Diceros bicornis minor: one gene and its partners. The protein of the gene in region 1 interacts with the protein of each later gene in a pairwise test. Links are inferred from orthologs where the notes say so. Each region holds a gene or a part of one and is shown in the gene's direction. Other genes may lie near its edges. The genes, in order: TRIP10, WAS and ARHGAP17.

Region 1 (7,729 bases):
AGCTGCGTCCCCCACCCCGGACTGCAGCGCAGCGGGACTCACCGTCAGCACCAGCCGGTGGATGCGCCCAGAGCAGCCGCCACATAGCAGCAGCAGAAGGAGCCGCTGCCCCCACTCAGCGGGGCTCCAGCGGGCGAGCCCCCTCCTCTCGCTCACTGCCATTTCTGGAGCCACCGCCTCCCCTAACACCGCCTCTGACTCCCCTAAGCCCGCCTACCCGTGAGCCAATCGCTGCACGGTGGGGCCCGACCCTTCGGCTTTGTCAGCCCGTCCAGCCAATCAGCGATCGTCTCCTCGCAAACCCGCCCCCGCACAACGCCAAATGGACAACACCAGCTCCGAATAGGAGTGCCGATACCGCTTAACCCCGCCTCCCCTTTCACCAATCACTAGGAATATTGTTCCGGATGTAATTTGATGAACAGTCCATCTAACCAATTGTGATGGATCCGATATCCGGCCCTTGAAGCGGAATTCCTCAATCCACGCTTAACTGACAGACCGATCCGAGACTACATTACCCAGAATGCAGCGCAACAGGGCAGTCAATAAACTTCACTTCCCAGTATCCCCAAGGACCGACATCCCCCGTCTTATCCCTGGGATGTGGCTCCCAGCCAGAACTGAGGCTTTTGGTAAACACACGCATCTGCTGCGGCCTGTCCTGTTCTCCTAATCTTCCTGATCCACCGAGAGGCCTAAACCTGGCCCCAGGCTAACTCTTGACCATAGGATGACCTATGACCTCAGGCTGAGTCCCCAGCCGTAGGCGGAACCTCCTATCCCAGAGTGAGGCAACTGGAGGCCCACCTGCAGATCCCAGGCTGGGCTTGATTATGGGCTGAACCCTGACCCCGGGCTGGGCTGAACAACCTCTCTGCAACTCCGCCCAGACCTCAGCCTGAAACCCAGACTCCCCCACCTCTTTCTGACCTTCGACCTACACTGAGCCTCAGTCTCTGGTTGAGCCCCCTACTTGGACTGAGCCCTGACCCTTAGGCCCTAGTTTGAGTCCCAGACCCCCAACTGGATTGCTGAACCCGCTGCTAAGCCTGCGACCCCATTCTGAGACCCCATCCCAGCTGTGGTGGCGATCTGGGATGAATCCGAAATTCGGTTTGAGTTGGAGACCAGGGTTGAGACCCTAATCCCAAGCTGAGTCCCTGACTCCATCTGATCCCCAGCCTCTGGAGCACAGCCCACTTTGCACCTTGAGGTTTCCTAGCTCAGAAGCCACCAGCAGGGGGGGCCAGGTCCCCGCAGAGCCATCTGTCCCAGTGTGAGCTCCAGGGAGCTATCCTCCTAGGTTCACCAGTCTGTGTACTGGGAGCCTGGGGGCTCAGAGCCTACTCCTCCCCGGGGACCTGGGGGCCCCAGCCCCAGCAGGGCGTCTGTCACCTCTGTAGCCACAAAGTACCAAAGGCAGGAGAAAGTGAGGGTGGGAGCTGCTGGGACCTCTGCCCTTTCATCCCAGTGCCTCAAAGGGATTAACAAAGTGTGAACAGACTTTTATGAGGGAGGCGACAGACTTCCAAGCCCCAGGGCTCGAGTATCTGGGGGGAGGTGCGGAGACGGAGTTAGAATCCCAGAGTCTGTGCAGACAATTAAACCTGATTGGGCCTTAATGGATGCGACTGGAAACTGGGCAGGTGCAAGCGTGAACTGGATGGGAGCTGGGGAAAGGCCTGGGCCGGGCGCTCCAAGGACGGCCCGTCCTCAGTTTCCCGGCGATTTTCGGGGGGGTGGGGGGGGGGAGAGGCAGGATGCGGTGGGGGCGCTAATGGACCCGGCCTTGGCAGAGGCGCGTCCTGGACAGGATCGAAGTCCTCCCATCCGCCCTGTGGCCGGAGGGACCAGACCATTAGTGAGACGAGTGTAGAGCTCTGGAGCCGGGCCGGCCCGCAAGAGCCGGGTGACCTCAGGTTCTCTCTGCGACGGGGTGGGGGAAAGACTTCTTGGGTTGGAGTTTTAGTGTCTTGGCCCTTTAAGGAATGGTTGACTGGAAAGAGGGAAGGAGGAACAGTTCGGGGCGGGGCAGGGGTGGGGAGGATAAGAGGTGCCCGGGGGATTTCGAAAATGGGTGGGGGTCCTTTAAGGGGTCGGTCCAGTGGCCACGTTCCTTTAAAAGGGGGCGGAGCGTCCGCCGGGCCCCGCCTCCTCGGGGGCCCCACCTTTAGGGCGCTGTGCTGGGTTCTGCGGGGTGGAGGCGTGGCTGAGCCTTTGGGGGCGTGGCCTAGCGGGGAGTGGGCGGGGTCGGGGCGGGGCCGGAGCACCGCCCTGGGCTGAGTCTCCCGGCGGGTGGCGGCGGGCGGCGGGGACCGGGCGCGGCTGCGGCCTCGGCGGGAGCAGCATGGACTGGGGCACCGAGCTGTGGGTGAGTCCTATCGGTCCGGCTCCGAGCTCCCCCTTCCTGAGGTCCAGACCCCCCAACTTTGCCCCTGTAGTAGCTTAGCGGGGGCTCCGCGCCTTCGCTTCCACCGATCCTTGGAGTCTCCGCTCTCCGCCCTCTCTCGGAGTGTCCCAGGGCGTTTCAGGACGCCCGGGGGCAAAGGGCGACCTTGCAGGAGCGGCGTAGGGAAACTGAGGCACGGGGTGCAGAGTGAGGAGGGCCCAGAAGAAGTCCTGGGACCAGGCCGGGGCGGCCGGGCGAGGTCACCTATTTTGAGCGTCCTGGCTGGGCCAGCGGCTTATCTTACGGCCCCTGGGTCCCTGCCCGCCGCCCGCCTGTCTGGCTGGTGGGGGGGAGGGGACCCTCTGGCCACTTGCAACCCCACGTGGGACCTAGAAGTCCTGACCGCCCTTTCTGTCGCCTCTAATCAACACCTAGGGGCTTGGGACCCTCTGGGGGAGGAGGGGGCTGCAAGGCTCGGCCTCAGCCCCCTCCCCCTGCCCGCCCCAGGCCAGGGAGGGGCCGCCCCCAGGCCGCCTCTAACCTCAGCTCAGGAAGCCCCAGGAATTTCCCCCTATCCTAGCCGGGACCTCTGTCCCCTCCTCTTTCTGGAGGCGGTGGCATCCCTGGGTTCCTGGGTGTAGCGAGGTAGCCAGATCCTCCCTCCCTCAACACTGGAATTTCTTTTGGAGGTGCAGTGGAGTCAGTAGGGGAAACTGAGTCACCCATCGGGGGACCCGGCGAAGCATGGCGACCTGGGGGACCTGGTGCCTGCTGCCTGGCCATTCTGGGGCCCCCAAGCCGCAGGGAACCCTGCCCCTCTGGCCCTGACTCACGCCGGGCCGGCCGGATTTTCCGGAATCTGGGGGGAATTAGAAGAGCTGGGGCAGGGGGAGTGGCCCTGCCCCATTCCACACCCCGCTTGGCTGTCCGGAGACGGGGACCCTGTCGTCCGGCTGGGGCCCCGCCCCTGTTCCCTGGCTCTTCCCGGGAAGGGGAGGGGGTTCCCGCCGGTTTCCTGTCTCCCCCCGCGCTGCGCCGGGGCGGGGCCGGGAAGTCACTCCTTCTCGGAGCTGGAGCCTCGAGGCAGCCGGGGCGCCTGGTCCGCAGGCCATGGGGTCCCAAGGTCTTGACCCCGGCCCTTCCTCGTCCTCCTTCCGGCCAGGATCAGTTTGAGGTGCTCGAACGGCACACCCAGTGGGGGCTGGACCTGTTGGACAGATACGTGAAGTTCGTGAAAGAGCGGACAGAGGTGGAACAGGCTTATGCCAAACAGCTTCGGTGAGACCCTAGGGTGGGAGCGCCCTGGGGCTTGGGGGAGCCGTTGGAGGGCTGGGGGCTCAGCCTTCCTGTCTCTCTCTCCCCTTAGGAACCTGGTGAAAAAATATTTGCCCAAGAGACCTGCCAAAGATGACCCTGAGTCCAAGTAAGGATGGAGAGGGGATGCAGGGCTAGATTTTGGGGTGGGAAGGGGGTGTGGGCTCTAGTTCCTCCTCCTCGGCTGAGCCTCCCAAGCAAGTCCCTCGCCTTTCACCTCAATTCCTACCTAGAGATAAGAGCATGGTTGCAGGGTCTGGCTACCTGGATTGGAATCCTAAATCCACTACTTTCTACCCTAACTGCTTTGGGCCATTGACTCAAGCTTCTGTTTTCCCCCGCCTAATACATGAGGGAGACTCCAGCAGTTACTAAATGATAGACTCTAGGCAAGTGAGTTTGTGCCTCTGTTTTCCTCATCTGTGAAATGGGGATGATGACGATGACCTTGTAGGGCTCAAGGGAAGATTAACCGAGATAATGGGTTAAAACAGTGCCCAGTCTGTAGTAAGTGCGTAGGAACATTTCACTTTATTCTGCATCCTGGGTTCCAGAATCCAGAAAGCTCTAGACATCAAAAGTTTTTCCAGCAACTTGATTGGAGGCAACCTCTGACCTGAACTGACTTGATGGTAATTACGTTCATTACGGTCGTCGTTTTTATCCCACTTAGTGTGAATATTAATACCTCTCACTGCAAAAATATTTATGGTGTTTGATTGCAGGATGCCGCCCAACCACTGGGGTCATGCATAAAAGTGGTATAAGCATCGTATTCCCTTGCTAAAACCTGAAAAATTCTGAGTTCCGAAATGCATCACTCTGGGGTTGGGGGTCAGGGATGTGGACCCGAATTTATCTTTGCTTCTGAATGAGTGTCCGTCCCACCTGTCCCCAGGTTCAGCCAGCATCAGTCCTTCGTGCAAATTCTACAGGAGGTAAACGACTTTGCGGGCCAGCGGGAGCTGGTGGCTGAGAACCTCAGCGTCCGCGTGTGTCTCGAGCTGGCTAAGTACTCGCAGGAGATGAAACAGGAGAGAAAGATGGTGAGTGATTCCCGCCCCCCACCCCTGGGACTTCTGGAGGGTTCCTGCTGCAACCCAGGTGAGCTTATGGCTTCTCTTACCATAGCACTTCCAGGAAGGCCGTCGGGCCCAACAGCAGCTGGAAAGTGGCTTCAAACAGCTGGAGAATGTGAGTTTGTGGGCATGGAGGGTGGTTCTGGCCCCTGATCCACGGACCTTCCTCCTTTGTCTGTGGGTTTCCAGTGTGCCCTTTGTCCCACATTTGCTAGGTGACTTCCTCCATTCCCTGAAACCGTGGTTTCCCACCTCCCTACCTCGGGGACGGGGGCTCCTTCATTGTGGTTCTGTCCCCAATACAGAGTAAGCGTAAATTTGAGCGAGACTGCCGGGAGGCGGAAAAGGCGGCTCAGACGGCTGAGCGGCTAGACCAGGATATCAACGCCACCAAGGCTGATGTGGAGAAGGTGCTTGTGGGGTCTGGGACAGGCTTGGGGGTCAGTCAGGGTGAGACGGGGCCAGAACCTGGCAGGAACCCCCTCCCCGATATTCCTCAGGCCAAGCAACAAGCCCACCTTCGGAGTCACATGGCAGAAGAAAGCAAAAATGAGTACGCGGCCCAACTACAGCGCTTCAATCGAGACCAGGCCCACTTCTATTTTTCCCAGATGCCCCAGATATTTGATGTGAGTGCTCCAAGCCCCCAGCCCCACCTTCCCAAAAAACCCCCAAATTCACCAACTCCTACCCATTTGTCAAAACCCCAGCTGCAATGTTCCAGTCTCTAAATTGAAAGGGAATTAGAAACAAATAGGAACAGTGAGCTCTGCCTTTACTCAAGCTGTTTTTTTCTGCCAGGGATATCTTTCTTTCCTTTTGAAACTCCTATTCATTCTTCAAAGCCCCAGCACCAACAACCGCTCTGAAGGGTCTTGAATTTCCCCTCTTCTGTTTCAGCCGCGTATTCCACTCTCTGCTCCAACCCTGGGACTGGCAGTAACTATGCTGGGTTTGCTTTTTCTTCAAAGCCCTGGCTCCGTTGTCACCTCCTTTGAGAAGCATTTCCCAACTCCCTAGGCAAGAGGGCGGTCCTCCAAGTCCCCTCTGAAATCTCCCCAGCCCTGTGTCTCTCCCCTGACCTCACTGGGCTGGAAGTCTCTGTGCTCGATTCTGTGTTTTCCCCACCAGACTGGGCTTGGGGCTGGGGCCAGTGTGGATCTCCATCATGTTTGCGGAGTGACTCATTCTGCTACCGCCCCCTCCGTTAGCACTTCTGTCCCTGTCCCCACAGAAGTTGCAAGACATGGATGAGCGCCGGGCCACCCACCTGGGGGCTGGGTACGGGCTCCTGTCAGAGGCTGAGCTCCAGGTGGTACCCATCATCGCCAAGTGTTTAGAGGGCATGAAGGTGGCTGCGGATGCCGTGGATGCCAAGCATGTGGGTGCCTGGTCGCGGGCCAGTGACCACGGGGTGGGCAGAAGGAGGATCCCGAGGGCTAGACACCTGTCTTACCCCTCACTGTCCCCCCGCCGTCCCCTCCCCGCAGGACTCCCAGGTCCTCATCGAACTGCACAAGTCAGGCTTTGCCCGCCCTGGCGACGTGGAATTCGAAGACTTCAGCCAGCCCATGAACCGCGCGCCCTCAGACAGCAGCCTGGGTACCCCCTCCGATGGACGGCCTGAGCTCCGAGGCCCGGGCCGCAGCCGTGCCAAACGCTGGCCCTTCAGCAAGAAGAACAAGGTGGGGGCCGGGGCCCTTGGGGTGGGGGTGTGGGTGTGAGCAGGGACAGCGGGGGCCCCCACTGAGTCAGCCGTAGCTGCCGGAACGCTGAGTCCCGGGCAGGAATTTTCCTCTTGGCTGCCAGCCCGGGCTGGAGGGAAGGAAGGCCGCCGGGCGATTGGCCTGGGAGTCCCCCGAGGCGGAGGGGGGGGTGGGAGGGGGACCCGTGGCGTCTCTCTGCTGTTTCTCAGGATGCTGGGAGCAGACCTGCTTGTGGGATTCAGGGCTGGGCGAGGGCGCGGGATGCTGGCCCTCGGGACACCCCGAGTGTCTCTCCGTCCTGCCGATGGGTCCCTGGGTCCCTGACCCTCAGGCTGTTTTTTCTGGGGATTTTTGGCTTTCAATGTCAAGCACATACCTGGACACCCCTGGTTTACACCTTCGACACTCCCCGACGTTTATGCCTTTTACTCTGTTTTATACCCCTGGTCCCTCTTGATATATTCTTTGATACTCTTTAATTTCTACGTGCACGCCCCGGCTTAAGCCCCACCTGTAACCCATCTGATATTTCATGCCTTTGACCCCTTTCTCAGCTTGCGCTTGACCTCTGTGGCCCCATACCTGTCTGAGACCTTGATTCCTGCATGCATCTCCCTCCACCTTCTGGACTGTGAGCCCAGAAAGCTGGGGGGACACAAACATGGGCCTCCCTGCACCCCCAGGTCCCATTCTAGGTACTGGACGTAGGATGCAGGGGACCTGGGACATATGGGGGTGAGGGAGGGATCTGGCCTTCTGGCTCACAGTCTAATGCCCTCCCTGCCACCTCCCAGATTTTTGTGTTGCTCTCTGCATGCATTTTCTGTGTGTGATGTGGATCTTGAGTTGTGGTTTTCTTACCGTTTTTTTTCTTTTCTCCATTTTGTTTTTTCCTTTTTTCTTTATTGCGTCCGTCCATCCGTCCGTCCATCCTTATTCTCTCCATCCTCCCACTCCTCCTGATCCATCCCCTCCCCGGCCCCCGTCGGTAGCCGCGTCCCCCACCCCTCTCCCCCCTGGGGGGCCCCCTGCCCTCGGCAATGCCTAACGGACCCCCGTCCCCCCGCTCCGGCCTCGACCCCTTGGCCATACTGAGTGAGATCAGTAAGTCGGTCAAACCGCGGCTAGCATCCTTCCGCAGCCTTCGAGGCAGCCGTGGGGTAAGTGAGGCCAGCGGGGGAGGAGGAGGGGGCAGCCCCAGCCCGCCCAGCGGCCGGGTGGCGGGACCCTGGGCTCGC
Region 2 (7,729 bases), on another chromosome or scaffold:
TAGAGAAAGGGCAATGGGAAGGGGATCATGTGTTCTGGGTCTCTGACCATCCACCAATGGTGGTGGGACCTAAAAGTCTGAGGGAGGTGGGTGAGGAGAGGATTGGGGCGGGGTAGGGAGAATGCTAGGCTGAAGGGATGATAATTCATTTATTCAAGTTACTCAGCTATTTCATAAAAACAATAACAACAATAATGCATAATTATAATGTGTTAAGCTCTGTCCTAATCACTTTACATGAATTATCTTATTTAGTCTTCACAACAACCTTAACTGCTATTATTACCTCTATGGATGAGAGAACAGAGGCACTGAGAGGTTATGAGACCCTAAACAGCTAGTAAGTGCCAGAGCCAGAAACCAGAGCCAGGCTGTAGGGCTTCAGAATCTGTGGTTCTAACCACTGAGCCATTCTTATCTCTCCAGGTGTCTCTGCTTTTCTGTGCACACCCTGTCCTCACTCCACCTCTGCCAGGACTAGAAATCAGCCCCTCTCCTGAGATCCCCTAAAGCATCCATTTGCCCGGAGCATCAGTGAACAGTGTAGACACCTCTGTGGGAGGAGCTGGGCCCTGCACACTCTGAGTTGTTTTTCCTCCCCCTTTTCCCCAGGCAGGAGGATGAAGAGAGGAAAGGGGAGCCTTGTGGGAAGAGGACAGTAAATCACAGCAGAGATATCTAGACTGTACAAGGATTGTTCAACAAATACTGATTGAGCTTCTGCCTGCAGGGTCCTGGTAGGGTGGTGGAGACACGGCAATGAACAAGACAGACAAAGGTCCTGTTCCTGTCTGCCCTGGGGGAGTGTTTTGGGAATTCCTGGTAGGTAGACTTTGGTTGTCACAATGATGGGGGGCATTGAGTGGGTAGGACCTGAGATGCTGGGGAACAGCCCCACACTACCGAGACTTCTAAAGTACACAAATGTCATTTCAGGATGGTGAAAGGAGCCCTCCCAAAATGTTTCTTATTAAAAGGGAGCATTGGGTCAGAGGGTTGGGATTTGTTGTTTCCTTAAGTCGGGCCTGTCCCCAGGAAGTGCCCCTCAGTCAGGGGTATGGAGGACCGTGAGGGGCAGGAAGGTAAGGGGAGGAGAAGGATGGTGTGGTGATGGAAATAGGTTGCCATATTGGCCTCAGTTTGGTCTTAGAGGACAGAAGTAGGACCCTACCCATGCCTATGTCCCCTCCGTGGACTCAGTCACGTGGTGGTGACAGGAATGTGGAAGACACCCTCGTGTCTTATTACCTACTCAGGGCTCTAGGCATGGCGACCGAGATTTGTAGGCAATATCCTCTAGAAATAAAGCAAATAAGCACAAGATATAAACAAGAAATGGTTCTCCATCTGGTGACCCCTGGGGAGTTGGCAGGGGGAAGTGATGGAGGAGCATGAGGTGGGTGTAAGTTATTGGGCATATCCTGGTTCTTGGGGGTTCTGTGGATTACTGAGAAGTAAGTCAGAACTTCTGCTCCCAGCCATGATGGACTGATGGCTCTCTTGCTGAGAACAATCAGAAAAGCTGGATTAAGATTTTTGGTCTTGTTTGTAAATCTATTTGAAGGCCCAGGAGAGCAAATTACCTTTGAGGTCATCACCTCACCAAATACTGTCTTCCAGTGCAGAAGAGCAAGAGTTGATGGGAACACATAGAAGTAAAGTAAATGAGCTCCAAATTATTAATGCAGATCAACACAGTGATTCAATAATCTGAATAATGTGAAACATGATATTAAAATGATTAATAAGGGCCGGCTCCGTGGCTTAGTGGTTAAGTGCACACGCTCCGCTACTGGCGGCCCGGGGTTCGGGTCCCAGGCACGCACTGACGCACTGCTTCTCCGGCCATGCTGAGGCCGCGTCCCACATACAGCAACTAGAAGGATGTGCAACTATGACATACAACTATCTACTGGGGCTTTGGGGAAAAAAGAAAAGGGAGGAGGATTGGCAATAGATGTTAGCTCAGAGCTGGTCTTCCTCAGCAAAAAGAGGAGGATTAGCACGGATGTTGGCTCAGGGCTGATCTTCCTCACAAAAAAACAAAAAAAAGATTAATAAATCACTATATTCCGGGGTGAGGAAACTCATTCTATTACAGACTAAAATCACGAAAATCTACTTCAGGTTTTTTATTTAGAGAAAAATAGAAATTTTAAACGTACCTGCTACTTGGAAGTAAGAACAGGAAATATACAACTTTTAAATGTTAATTTAAAAAACAACCAGCCAATGTAGCAGAGTTTTAAGGTCCCTGATGTAGACTTAAAGAGGACAGATCTAGGGGCAGAGGAAGAAGGAATAGGAAGGTGGAGGACAAAAGACATAGAGAGGGAGCAGAAGAATTGTATCTCGGCCCCCATGGGGCACTTAACAGTTTAGGAACGATTTCTCATGGAATTGGCCTCAGCTCTACCACTCACAAACTGTGTGATCTCGGGCAAGTTAGCTAAGCTTCTTTGGGCCTCAGCTTCCCGATCAGTAAAATGGGGATAACAGTAGTGCTTATCTCATTGGGTCGTTTGTGAATGTGAAATGAGTTCATAGATGTAAGGCACTTAGAAAAAGCTCAGAAAACACTGCATCAAATTAGATGTGAATCCCTCATTCATTCCTTCGATAAACATTTATTGAGCATCTAGTTTGTGCCACATACTGGAGATGTGCTTGGCCCACAGCGAGAGCTCAGTGAGCAGTGTTACATGAATGAAGGCAGTGGCCTTTTAAGGAGAAGTAGGGGCTTGCCCTAATGACCAGGCTGGAAGGCGCTCCAGGCCTGGAGGTATGAAATTGCCTGGTGAGTTAGGGCGCCATGAGCTGAGTTGTGAGGGGAGAGAGGAGGGAGGGAGGTTGGAATTGCCACATCAGAAGGGGCTTTGAGCCCAGGCCTAGGAGAGAAGCTTTGAACCTGCGGGTGTAGGAGCCATGCAGGTTTCCAGGCAGGACTGTGGGTCCCACCTTGAGATGTCCTGTTTCTTGTCAGGTACCCAGGAATGTGAGTCACACCCCAGACTGCTCAGTTCCCCTGAACTGCTGTATGTATGCCTGAAAGCTTCACGTCCCCAAACGGGAAACTGAGGCCAGGAAGGAGTGAGGACTGAGCTAGCATTCACTTGGGGAAACAGTCTGGCATTAACTAGTGAAGTTGGAGATGTGCAAACCCCACAACTCCGGATTACCCTCCTGAGAGTATGCATGCCCCTGCGGACCAGGAGATGTGCACAGGAGCCGACAGAGCAGCCAGACACAGCTCAAGTATCTGTTAACAGGAAAATATGAATAAACAAATTGTACAGCCACACAATAGAATACTATGTAGCAGTGACAATGAACAGCTAATGCTACAGGCAAATACGAATCTTAGTAACAGACAGAGAGACGGCATGGAGCATAGTCATGAAAAGCGTGCTCTCTGGCTGGACCCAGCCTGCCTGGTGTGCAATCCAAGCTCTACCACTTGCTAGCTGGGAGCTACTGGGAAAATTATTTAACCGATCTGTGCCTTGGTTCCCTCATTTCCCTCTGTCAAATGGACCCAGCAATAGTGCGCGTGCCATGGGCTGTGACGAGGATTGAAATGTCAGTATTATACAAAGAGGTCAGAACAGTGCCTGCACCACACAGTCAGTGGTACATGAATGTTTGGTAGATAAAAATAGAACGTTGAGTGGGGAAAAAGCAAGTCTCCGAAGATTACATACTTTTAGAAGTTCAAAAGCCATGAAAAGTAAACAAAATGTTATTTAGGCATTCATATATGCTATAAAATTCCTTTCTCAAAAAGGGATGATAAGCAGAAAGTAATTTGGGAGTTGCAGGAGGCAGAGGTAAGGGATGGGAAGTGAGCCGAGAGCTTGCACGTTGTCTGTTGTCTGGGTCTCAGGAGAGGGGTGGGACCCCAGGTACTCGCTATGTCATTAAAGGAAAAGCTTTAACGAAGTAACCTTTCAGCACTAGGGACCCTGAACCTCGGGACAGACTAACTGGATGCTTTGGGGAAGAAGGAGGCCGCCCAGTTCCATGCCTGCTCCCATGTAGAAGTGCTGCAGTGGCCTAGATCTTGCTGTCAGCCAATCAGAGGGAGGAGAGTCTGAGCCAGTCAGAGGGAGATGGGCCTCAGAGAGTAAGAAAGAAGCAGGAGGACGTGAGCGGGTCCAAAAGATGGGTCTAACCAGTCAAATGGAGGAGGGCCCCAGTCTGAGGGAGGAGGGTCTGAGCCTGTCCTAGGGAGGAGGAGACCAGGCCCACCGAGGGGCCCCTGGAGGACTTGTTTCCCTTGTGGCTTTTTTTGCACTTCCTGTTCCCCTGCTCACTGCGGAAGTTCCTCTTCTTACCCTGCACCCAGTGGCTGGCCGGAGAGGACAAGGGCAGGAGGCACCATGAGTGGGGGCCCTGTAGGAGGCAGGCCTGGGGGCCGCGGAGGAGCTGGGGTTCAGCAGAACAAACCCTCCACCCTCCTCCAGGACCATGAGAACCAGCGACTCTTCGAGATGCTCGGACGGAAATGCTGGGTGAGCTGGGGATCTCCTGGCCTTCCCTGTCTCCCTTCCTTTCCTCCTTTTCCTCTCCTCCTCTTCCACCTCCTTATCTTCCCCATCCTCTCCCTCTCTCCTTTCCTCCCCTTCCTCTCTGCTCATCTTCCCCATCCTTCTCCTCTCCATCATCTCTCCTAGAATTCACTTACCCCCGTTCACCAGTCCCAGGAAGATCTCAATGTCTACTCACTTTCCCTCTGGCTGCGGCTCTTCCTTCAGGGCCATGACAGCCACGGGCAAGGAAGAACCAGGTCTGGCTCCCAGACCCTCTCGCTGCCCCTGACCAGACTCCTCTGAGCCCTGCTCTCCTCTCCCAGACACTGGCCACCGCGGTTGTTCAGCTGTACCTGGCGCTGCCCCCTGGAGCCAAGCACTGGACCAAGAAGCATTGTGGGGCTGTGTGCTTCGTGAAAGATAACCCCCAGAAGTCCTACTTCATCCGCCTTTATGGCCTTCAGGTGACCCCTGCTCTCCACTGGACATGCAAACCAGCTTTGAACCCACAAACCCAGATCTCTGTCCATAGCCCTGAACCCTCGGACAGATAAGTGAACTCCTGAGCCCCAGAACCAAAGACTTCATTCAGATGTCAAACTCTGGCTTGCCTTTCTAAGTCTGTGATGACTGACCCCAGAGTCTCCATGTCAAGATCTATAAACCCCCAGATATTAGTATACCTCCTAAATTGAATCTGTTCCACAAACTCCAAAAACATGAGCACTATATTTTTACCTGAACCTCAAATTTGTTCTAAACTCAACATTTTGGTTCCCAGAAATCTTCCATCAAAACTCCTGACCCCTAGATGTTTGCGTAGCTCCTAAGTCATAAATCATAAACCCTAAACCTAAATATGCCATTGTCTTGAACTCCAAATCTGTCCTTTTAAACCCACAGCATGGACCCCAGAATTCCCGTATTAAAACTCCTGAACACTCAAATACTGAAGCAGCTCCTAAGCCAAAAATCTGTTCTACAAACCCCCAACCTGAACTCGCCAGGCCTAACGCCCAAATTCATCCTTGTAAACCCGTAAAGATGGACCCAGCATAACCACATCAAGATCCCAGGGCCATCAAATATTGACCAAACTCCTAAGCTGTAACTCTGCTCCACAAACCTCAATTGTACATAACTTGGCTGAACCCTGCCCCCCCAACACCCAAATCTACATGTCTGAACCCCCAAATCTCAACTCCAACTCCCAATACTGGAGCCCTACCTGCCCAAATGAAGGGAGTCTATGAATGGGCTCAGTTTCCTAGGACTGGAGTCCAAAATCCTCAAATTCAAGCTCCAAAGTCCCACATCTAGGGCCCTGAACCGCAAATACAAATCTCTTACTGCAGTATCTGACTCCCATATTGTACCCCAACCCTCCACATCTGACACCTAGACCCCCAACTCTCTGATGCTGAGATGGAAATCTCCGAATCAGATCCTGGGGCCCTAAATCTGGACACTATGCTCCCTGCCCAGATAACTGAGGCCTGCCACCCAGGGCACACCTCAGTGCCACTGTGTTCCCCACCCTGTACCTCTCCAGGCTGGCCGGCTGCTCTGGGAACAGGAGCTGTACTCACAGCTAGTCTATTCTACTCCCACTCCCTTCTTCCACACCTTTGCTGGAGATGTAAGTGACCACCCAACCCCTGGGCCAGAGTTGGGGTGTGGGGAGGAGATGGGAAAGGTGTGGGGGGCCTGGAAGTCTGCTGACCCCAAGGCGTGTACAGGACTGCCAAGCAGGGCTGAACTTTGCAGACGAGGGCGAGGCCCAGGCCTTCCGGGCTCTGGTGCAGGAGAAGATACAAAAAAGGAATCAGAGGCAAAGTGGAGGTGAGGAGGCCTTGGGGGAGGAAAGGAGGTGGGCAGAGGTGAGTGCAAGAGTGGGGAGCTGGAAAAGCCCTTCTCATGGTTCTGGTTCCCAGTCCACCTGTCTCTCCACAGACAGGCGCCAGCTACCCCCACCACCAGCACCAGCCAATGAAGGTGAGTCCTCTAGTGCAAGTAGGGGTAACAAGAGGCTAGCCCAGGAACCTGTGGCAGGGTTGTGATAGCTCTCTACCCATTCCATCTTCCCAGAGAGGAGAGGAGGGCTCCCACCACTGCCCTCGCACCCAGGTGGAGACCAAGGGGGTGAGTGCTGATTCTTCTCTGTGTCTCTTGGTGGATGGGTGGGTGGGGGGTGGATGGGTGGAGTGGATGGATGGATAGGTGGGGAGTGGGTAGATGGATGAGTAGGTGGGTGGGTGCAGAGATAAGTGAGTGAATGGGTGGGTAGATGAGTGAGTGGGTGGATGAATGGGTAGATAGAAGGGTATGTGGGTGGATGAGCAGGTGCATGGATGTAGCTGTATGGGAGGATGGATGGATGAATGGGTGAATGGATGTGTGGGTGGATGGACTGGTGGTGGATCAGTGGTTGAATGGGAGGATGAATTGACGGGAGGATAAAAATATAGATGGATTGCTGGTGGATAGAGGGTCGAATCAGGGGATGACTTGATGGGAGGATGAAAATATAGATAGATGTATAAGTGGATGTATAGATGTATAAGTGAATGGGTGCGTGGATAAATGGATGGATGATTGAGTAAATTAGTGAATGAGTGAGTGAGTGATTGAATGAATTGAACAATGAATAAATGAATAAGTGACAAAATTTCAGTCAGTGAAAAAGCAGTGATTGAATGAATGATTGAGTGAATGATTGAGTAATTTACTAATTAGTCAATGAGTGAATGAATGAGTCAATACTTAAGTGATAAGCATGAGTAATGAATCAGTGAATATATGAATGGTTTGCAGGACTCACTCACTTCTCAATAAACCTTACTTGGACCCCTCACCCACTTCCTCCATGACCATCAAACACATCAGTTCCCCCAACAGTCTTCTTGTCTCTTGTCCATATGCTTTGGTTGATAGGTAAGTGGGTCAATGGTCCAGTCACTCTATTTTCCCCACAGGCCCACAAGCTGGCCCGCTGGCCCTGGGACTGGTGGCAGTGGACATCCAGAACCCAGACATCACGAGTTCACGATACCGTGGGCTCCCGGCACCTGGGCCTGGCCCAGCTGATAAGAAACGCTCAGGAAAGAAGAAGATCAGCAAGGCTGATATTGGTGCACCCAGTGGATTCAAGTGAGAACCTCTCCCTAGTGAGCCCACAGATCCCTGGGAGTGGGGAATAG
Region 3 (7,729 bases), on another chromosome or scaffold:
CAAAGAAAGTAATTCCTCACTTTTTGCATTGATTAAGAGCTCTTTTTCCTGATAAGTTTTGTAAAACATCTTGTTTCTCCTTGAGCTGCTGGATTTCGGATTCTGTTTGTTCGTGTTGTTTTCTGTCTAGTTCGGAGGTGGCAGGAATCTCCGCAGAGAGTCTCTGATTCTCCCTCCTGGAGGCTTCTAATGGTTGCCTCTTTTCACTCCGTGGATCTCCTTAACTCTTCTATCTCTTCTGGGAGTGCTTTAGAAGACTCACTCACTGCACCAGATCTAGCTGCCTTCAGAGAGTTGGCTGACTCTGAAGTGAGCGATGATGTGGTGGGAGGCTGTGGTGCAATAACATCAAGTGGACCTAAAAGAACGTCCTTGGCATTGCACAGCTGCCCTAGGCTGAGCTGCATTCGTGCTAATTTCTTTGCCAAATGTGTGACTTAGATTTCATCCTCTTTATAATTTTGGATCAGGTCAGTAGAGGTAATCTGTAGTTGAGACTTATTTTCACTGTCCATCAAGACCCGAGCCTGAAGCTGTGGAAGTTCTTTCTGGAGCTGGGCTGACTCTCGCTGCGTGTTGTGCACCGCGGTCATCACTTGCTGTGTCCAGTCCTCCATTATGGAGACCTGCTGCTGTAACGTGTCACGTTCCTGCAGAAGCTCCTCCAACTGATTCACAGTAACCCCTCCAACCTCACTGCCAGTGCCAGATGTCTGCAAGATTGTCCATAAAGTCTGACATTTCTGACTCAAGGCAGCGATTTCCACGTCTTTTGCTCAAATGATGTGATAAGTTTGGAATCGTTTCTCTAGACATATCCTGATCACTACTTTCTTTTTTTTTTTTTTGTGAGGAAGACCAGCCCTGAGCTAACATCTATTGTTAATACCCCTCCTTTTTTTCCCCCAAAGCCCCAGTAGATAGTCGTACCTCATAGTTGCACATCCTTCTGATTGCTATATGTGGGACGCCGCCTCACCACGGCCGGACAAGCAGTGCGTAGGTGCCTGCCCGGATCAGAACCGGCTGCCAATAGTGGAGCGTGTGCACATAACCGCTAAGCCACAAGGCTGCCCCTTGACCACTACTTTCAAATATTGTGGACCATTCTGTATTTTCATCTTGCAGCTTCACGAGGTCGCTTCTTTGGCAACCAGTATGTCCACCATTTTGTGATACTCTCTTTTCAGGTTGCTGTTTTCCCTCACCTTCTCATTGAAAACAGCTAATATTTGTTCCCTTTCCAAAGCATAGGCTTGCAATTGCTGCTGAAGGTCCCCAACAGCCTGGATGTAGGGAGCTGAAGCTATTCTAGCGTCAAGACCCTGTATCTCCAACTCTTTTTGCTGGATAATCCGAGTTAGTTGACCAATCCATCTTTGTATGGCTGATCAATCTGCTCCTTCAAAGGGACAGTCTTTTCAGTTCGAAGTTTCATCTCCCATTCCTGTTCTTTTCTTCCTTTTCCTAATCTTTCAGTTTCAGCTTTATATAAATCATGCTTTTCACTTCCGTTTTCCATATTAAAACTCTGAACTTTCGGTATCAGAAAAATCTCAGAATGTTTTGTCTGCATGTGCTGTTTTTTTCAGGGAACTGGGTTTTGATTTGTTCTATTGTCTTTTGCAAATTCTTAATTTCCTCATCTTTGGCTGAAAAGAGCTGAGTGTGTTTTATATGCATTTGCTCATACTGGTATCTAAGTTCATCCATTTCCTGTTTCTGTTCTTGTAAAGATTGAAGGAGTTCTGTCTTCCTCTGGTCATGTTCTTCAAATATCTTTTGATGATGTTTTACTTCCTCCTCCAGATGACCTTTTATCAAATTCAGTTGAGAGACCTCAGATTCTAGTCGTGTCACCCTGTCCAGGGTTTTAGGGTCAACCACAGGTGCAGTTCCAGTCTGTTCTCTCAGTCGTTCCAGGGCTTCTTTCAGATGACTGTTTTCTTCTCTCATGGAGGCAAGCTTTGTGTCTTTTTCCTCCACGGTCTGCTGTAAACTTTCAGCTTTTCTCAAAGCTTGGGTTCTCAGTCTCTCCTCTGATGCTACAATTACCTGAACGTCCTCCATCTTCGTCCTCCCAGAGTCCGGTGACTCTTCCGCCTTCTCCCTTCCCTTCCTCAGCACATCTTTGGTGAAGTTAGAGATGTGTCCAGTGAGGGAAACCACACTGCCGCCCACTTGCCCCAGGGAATGGCCTAAGCCAGAGCCTAGGCCACCAAACCAGGAGGCCATCACCGCGGGTCGCAGAGCTGACCTGGTCCGCTCGGCGCAAAGCGTCCAGCCCAGTCGGCCAGTCCCGCCAAGTGTGGGGCACCGGCGCCTGCGCGAGGCGAAGAGTCCAAACACGCCGAGGGTTCCTAGGCAACGGGGTTCCGGGGTGGGGGTGGGGTGGGGGCGCCAACCGCCGGGGTGGGGGAGGGGCTGCCTGGAGCCCGGGGCCTGGCCCTGGACCTCACCAATGGGTCGCCAGTCACCCTCCCCACCCACCCTGTCACCCGGGGCCTCCGCTCATCCCGATGACTTCCCACCGCGGGGTCGGGCCCCTTCTCCCGCTGCCCCAGTGACGTCCCCGGTGCCAGCGCCCCTCCTGCCACCTCGCGCCGGCCGCCATGACAGCCGCTCTGGAGGCGGCCGTCCCCACACGGCCTCCCCCGTGCGCGTGTCCGCGCTGTGAAGAGAGGACCCATTGCTCTGATGTCACCAAGTGTAGCACACGGTCCGTATTGTCCTACAGCTGGTGATTTTCACGCAACAATTTTTTTTAAAAGTCTGCAGTAAAATTAACATAGTGACAGGCACCCATCTGAAGAGTTCAACCAGTGTGTTTTGACAAATGTCTACACCCGCGCATAAGCACGACCCTGATGAAGACACTGACCATTTCCATCATCCAGACAGTTCCCGGGTCCTCTCCCCACAGCCTCGCCTCCTCCCCGAGCAGCCCTGCAGGGAGAGGGGTCCCCTGGATTAGTTTGGGGGCTCTTGTGATACGGGGTGTCACAGCGTGGACACGCCGTGTGTCTGCTTTCGTCAACTCGTGTTTGAATCTAGTCAGGGAAGTGAGTTTCACATCCGTGGAGGAAGCATTGATGAGGAAAAGACATCGAGGTCCTAGGGGACCGGAGGCCCGAGCCCGCTCAGCCCGGCGGGTCGTCCTCCTCGGGGACCGACGCGGGCCCACGGCCGAGGCCTGGCTGCACGCCGCGCCCTGGGCCTGCCCTGCGCTCCTGCCCCGGCGGCCCGACGGGCGGCGCTGGAAGTGACGCGGGAGGGCGGGGCCGCCGGCCTGGGGAGCCGCCGCCGCCGCCTGGGCCGGGAAGCGGTGGAGGAGCCGCCGGGCCGTCTCGTCCGCCGCCCCGAGCCCCGCGGGCCGCCTCCGCCGCCGCCATGAAGAAGCAGTTCAACCGCATGAAGCAGCTGGCCAACCAGACCGTGGGCAGGCGAGTGCCCGGGCCGGGCGCCGGGGTCGGGGGGCGGGCCGCCTCCTCCGCGGCGGGCGGCTCAGGGCCCGGCCGCGGCCCCGCCGGAGGCCAGGAGGCCAGGCGGCCCGGGGCCCCGGGGCTGCACCACGCCGCGGCCTGGCTCCCAGAAAGTGGCCGGACGAGCCGCCTCCCTCCGTACCCCGCTCGGGGTCCCCACTGCCCGTGTCCCCGCCCCGGAGAGCAGGGACCTGCCCCTTCCCCTGTCCTCCCCGAGACCTGCTGCCCGGGCTCGCTGCCTGGGGCCACCACTCCCGTCACTGGGCGCCTGAGGCTGGGCCGCCCCGGGCTGGGGGGCGATTCTCAGCCTCTCCGGGCCGCTGTGCAGACCCTTCAGGTCCAGGTGCAGATGGAGGAACCAGTGAAGGGTCTTCCAGCCAGTGGGATTGGCTCAGGGGGTTTCAGACGCCCTTTGAGGGAAGTTAGAGGTGGTGCTGTCTCCACACTAGGGCGAAGATGAACTAGGTGTGCAAGTTCTTGACGCTGAGAAATTAGGATTTGGGAAAAGAGGAATGTGGAGATGCCGTGCACCAATTAAAGAAAAAATTGTTTTAAAAAAAGCCTTTCTCCCTTTGGATTTGGAAGCAGACACTTCTCCATGTTTCTTTGGTCCTGTTGTAGTGCTTGACCGGCATTGATGTGAAATGACAGAATAGACCAGAGTTTGTAGCGGGTCAGGCTGTGGGGCCAGGAATGATCTGTGGTTTTGAGAGCTTCTCCGGGTGATTGTCACGTGCGGTATTACCTGGGTCAATATTTCCAAGTTCTCCCAGGGCACTCAGCTGTGCTGTACCCGTTTACTCTTCATTCTGTGAAGAGAGATGAAAGTATGAATTTCCCACAGCTTTTGCTTCTTTTTTCAACACTTAAGTAAAAGGGGGAGTTTGGTTTGGCAAAAGCACGTGGGGACACTTCTTTTTTTGTGAATATGAAAATACTTTTACTTCCTCTTGGGTTTTCTAAATTTGCTATGTAGTGTTTCGTTTCCCTCAACTTTTTGCTTAGTTTTGTTGTTTAATTTTCTGGTCTCCCACTCTGTTATCTTGGTGTGCATTTATCCTGTTTCCAGAGTTAATCCCTGTCCCCTAAAGCTAGATGTGCGCAGTTTTCAGATATTTGTAGGAAAATGATAGAAATAATACTGAGAGGAAGGTAGGCAGAGTAGTCGAGAGACTAATGTTTCAGCCAAGACTCGGGGAGCCAATTATAAGATAATTCCTTATGAGTCTTCCACCCTCTCAGTGTCTCAGTAACATGCATTGTGGAATCAATATTTAGTGAGTGTCAAGAGAAATTTGTCAGATTGTCATTTTGGCCGTTTTGTACATTGTATCAGGCAAGGGCTGTTTGCTCTTTTTCGTTTTTCATTACAAGTTCTGAGGCTTTTAAAGCTGCAAAGCCATTCCGAGTCTCTTTGGCCCCTGCTTCCTCTGTAGCTTTTTAAGCTTCCTCTTCACACTTTTAAATTCCAGCCTTACCTGCCTCGTTTTAGTTTTCAGAGAAGGCCATGCTCTCTTAGCTCTTAGCCTCTACTTGGAACTTTCCGGAAGCCTCTTTCACTACACCTGCCCCATAGCCACCTCCTACTCATTCTTCAGTCTCCAGTAAAGGTCTCTGCCTCTAAAAAGCCTTCCCTGATGCTCCAACATAGACTTGATGGCCCTCCTGGGCGCTTTCAGGATTACACGGAGCGCCTGTCTTTCTCTAAGGTCATCGCCTCTTCACTTGTCAGTGTTCTCCATTCCACTAAACGCCTTGAGAGTCCTTGCTCTGTCTTTCTCCTTTGGTTGCCAGGGTCCTCTGAGGTTCCTATCACATGGTAGATGCTCAACAGATATTTTAATCTATTGTAAATCTACTTATTACTAGATTGCCTTGGTGATGCGGGCCCAAGTATGGGAAAACGAGAACTGGATAGAGTAAATGGTGATTCATTCTGGCCCTGCCCTTTGACTCCGTTTGAAAATCTTTATTGCTCGATGCTAGTGGAAGCTGCTGCTATTACAGAGCTATTAAGGGTGTGGCAATTATGCACCCAAAGTCAAAACTGTTTTTATTGGGGAATTTGTGCTTTATTGCTGTTGATTTCCTAGTTATATTTGTATTTTTTCCACTTGAGTGATTGTAAAGGACTAGAGAGGGAAAGTGGAGGCAGGAGAGAGCCTAGAATTGTTATTGTGTGGAATCAGATGGTTTGTGGGCATCTGAATCAGGATACTGGGTGTATTTGGGTCAAAATGAAGACTGGAAAGCAAAGAAGGTCCGCCCTTATTCCCCCCATTAATGATTGAAGTTACGTGTGTGAATGGCATGGCCGTGTGTGTGCTATCAATTCACAGAGTTCTATGTGGTGTCTTGCAATGAAGTGTTCTTTTCCCAGAATGAGGACCTTGTGAGTAACCCCACAGTGAGGTTCCATGGGACAGACTTGTGGGAGAATTAGTAATGGCTGGGAGGAGTGAGTTTTCATGATGCCATTTGTTGACAATGGGTGGATGAGTCTGTTTCAGAAGATGGTGTGTATATCACAGGGGCAAGGCTGATGAGCTGGTCTTAAGATATGGGTGTCCCAAGGTAGAGAATTAGGATGATTCCTTTTGTTCTTCTGCGGTTGTTGATTCATCCATTCAACAGACCCTCAGTAAGCTCCACTTGTGTTCCATTGTGCAAGGTATTAAAGACTCAAAAGTGAATAGAACAGAGTTTCTGTCCTGAAGGAGCTCAATAGATCTGTGGAAGAGATAAGCAATCCAAACAATAATTATATACCCTGAGATAAGTGCTTCTAGAGGGATGGCTAATACACAGAGAAAACCCAGCTCTTATTAGATGGAGGGAGGTACCAAAAACACAGGAGAAAATCTGAGGAGAACCTTTTGGTTTTTTTTCCATCTTTGAGCACTTCTTTCAAGTTTCTCTTGTAGTGACTAGATCTCTTGGTTGTAAGAAAAACAAGTTTAAACTGCCTTAAGCAAAGATGGGAATTAATTGGTTCCTAATGTGACCAAAGGGTCCAGAAGTAGTATGGCTGCAGACCGAGTTGGATCCAGGGGTTCCACTTTTTAGACAGCCTATGTCTACAAGAAGACCCCAGTCTTCCATTGTCCTCAGTTCAAGTCCCCGAGGGACAGATTATACTTTTCCCCCAGTCACTGTGGCCAAAGTCCCAGGATTGACTGAATGCTTCTGACCGGGTCACATGCCTCTCTCTGGAAATGGGAATGGAGTCAGCCCCTCCCAAACCACAGGGACTGAGAGTGGGGGAGCGCTGGCTCCCCAAGGGAAGCAGAGGTGCTGTTACCAGCAGAAGGAGAGAAGGAGTGCTGGTCAGGAAACAATAAACATCATGTCATGTCTTTTCTAGTCCTGCTGAAAAGAAAGATGCTTTTTTTCCTTGAAAACCCTTGATGCAGATAATCCAGTGAACGCAGGTGGTAATTCTGGGGAGGTGAGCTCCTCAGTGGAGGAAGGTATATGGCAGGGTGAGCATCTTGAGAAACGTTTAGTTACAAGGTAGAAGTGTCAGGAGGAAAGGACTCTGAGGGACTAACTGGAGAGCTTATTATCCAGGTGAGGCTCTAGAAGGGAGTGTCTCAATGGGGGTTGGTTTCTGCCCTGAGTGAAGTACTCCCTGGGGGGGATGGTTGTCTTTAGATAAGACCAGTTACAAACTCGAGTGCCTAGAGGGCCAGGCTGGTAATATAAATGAGTGACTTAGAGCAGGTGAGGGCTGTGGGGGACCTGGAGGGCGCTTGTCTCACGCAATGGGCATGTGCGAATATGGGCCCAGTGTGGCTGACACTTGGAGTTTTGGAGAAAAGCCTGAAATCTGGATTTTAATGAAAATTCAATGGCATTTCATACCAATTTAAGAAACCCCATGACACTATGTGGGAGTAAACACAATATGTCCATGGCCAGATTTGGCCTGTGGGTGGCCAGTTGGCAATCGCTTGACTAGAAGGGCCTGGAGGTTAAGGATCCCTGTTATTCTTTTTCTTTTTTTTTTTTTTTTTTTTGCCCTGTTCCAGTTCTTTGGATTTGTTGAAGAGCTCATCCTTTCCTTTATAGAAATCTTTAAAGATCTGATAGTAATCGTCATCGACATTTCTATAGTGGGTTGGTTTACTAAGTGCTGTACCAAACCACCTGGCTTAGTTCTTGCCTACTGGTGATTATCATTTCTATTTTATAAAGCAGGAAAAACGGCTTGCCCAGTTCACACAGACTAAGTGGCCCAGGCAGGA

What was found.
Region 2: the proteins of TRIP10 (region 1) and WAS interact in a two-hybrid assay, tested with the Homo sapiens proteins (2 studies listed by BioGRID). The link is inferred for Diceros bicornis minor from reciprocal best matches to the Homo sapiens genes TRIP10 and WAS.
Region 3: the proteins of TRIP10 (region 1) and ARHGAP17 interact in binary tests that used the Homo sapiens proteins (3 or more experiments, as listed by UniProt). The link is inferred for Diceros bicornis minor from reciprocal best matches to the Homo sapiens genes TRIP10 and ARHGAP17.

What each region holds. Positions count from the first base shown.
Region 1 is NW_026691615.1:1,650,681-1,658,409, reverse strand, and holds the start of TRIP10 (cdc42-interacting protein 4), read left to right. Parts: upstream 1-2,314; 5' UTR 2,315-2,350; coding exon 2,351-2,374; intron 2,375-3,554; coding exon 3,555-3,670; intron 3,671-3,758; coding exon 3,759-3,815; intron 3,816-4,604; coding exon 4,605-4,752; intron 4,753-4,837; coding exon 4,838-4,900; intron 4,901-5,090; coding exon 5,091-5,195; intron 5,196-5,285; coding exon 5,286-5,414; intron 5,415-6,019; coding exon 6,020-6,166; intron 6,167-6,275; coding exon 6,276-6,470; intron 6,471-7,729. Other genes in the region: protein GPR108, read right to left, coding at 43-162. UniProt on the Homo sapiens protein: Required for translocation of GLUT4 to the plasma membrane in response to insulin signaling. Required to coordinate membrane tubulation with reorganization of the actin cytoskeleton during endocytosis.
Region 2 is NC_080781.1:41,992,612-42,000,340, forward strand, and holds the start of WAS (actin nucleation-promoting factor WAS), read left to right. Parts: upstream 1-4,154; 5' UTR 4,155-4,379; coding exon 4,380-4,511; intron 4,512-4,852; coding exon 4,853-4,993; intron 4,994-6,081; coding exon 6,082-6,168; intron 6,169-6,268; coding exon 6,269-6,371; intron 6,372-6,482; coding exon 6,483-6,524; intron 6,525-6,617; coding exon 6,618-6,671; intron 6,672-7,504; coding exon 7,505-7,679; intron 7,680-7,729. UniProt on the Homo sapiens protein: Effector protein for Rho-type GTPases that regulates actin filament reorganization via its interaction with the Arp2/3 complex. Important for efficient actin polymerization. Possible regulator of lymphocyte and platelet function.
Region 3 is NC_080765.1:27,005,046-27,012,774, forward strand, and holds the start of ARHGAP17 (rho GTPase-activating protein 17), read left to right. Parts: upstream 1-3,331; 5' UTR 3,332-3,390; coding exon 3,391-3,443; intron 3,444-7,729. UniProt on the Homo sapiens protein: Rho GTPase-activating protein involved in the maintenance of tight junction by regulating the activity of CDC42, thereby playing a central role in apical polarity of epithelial cells.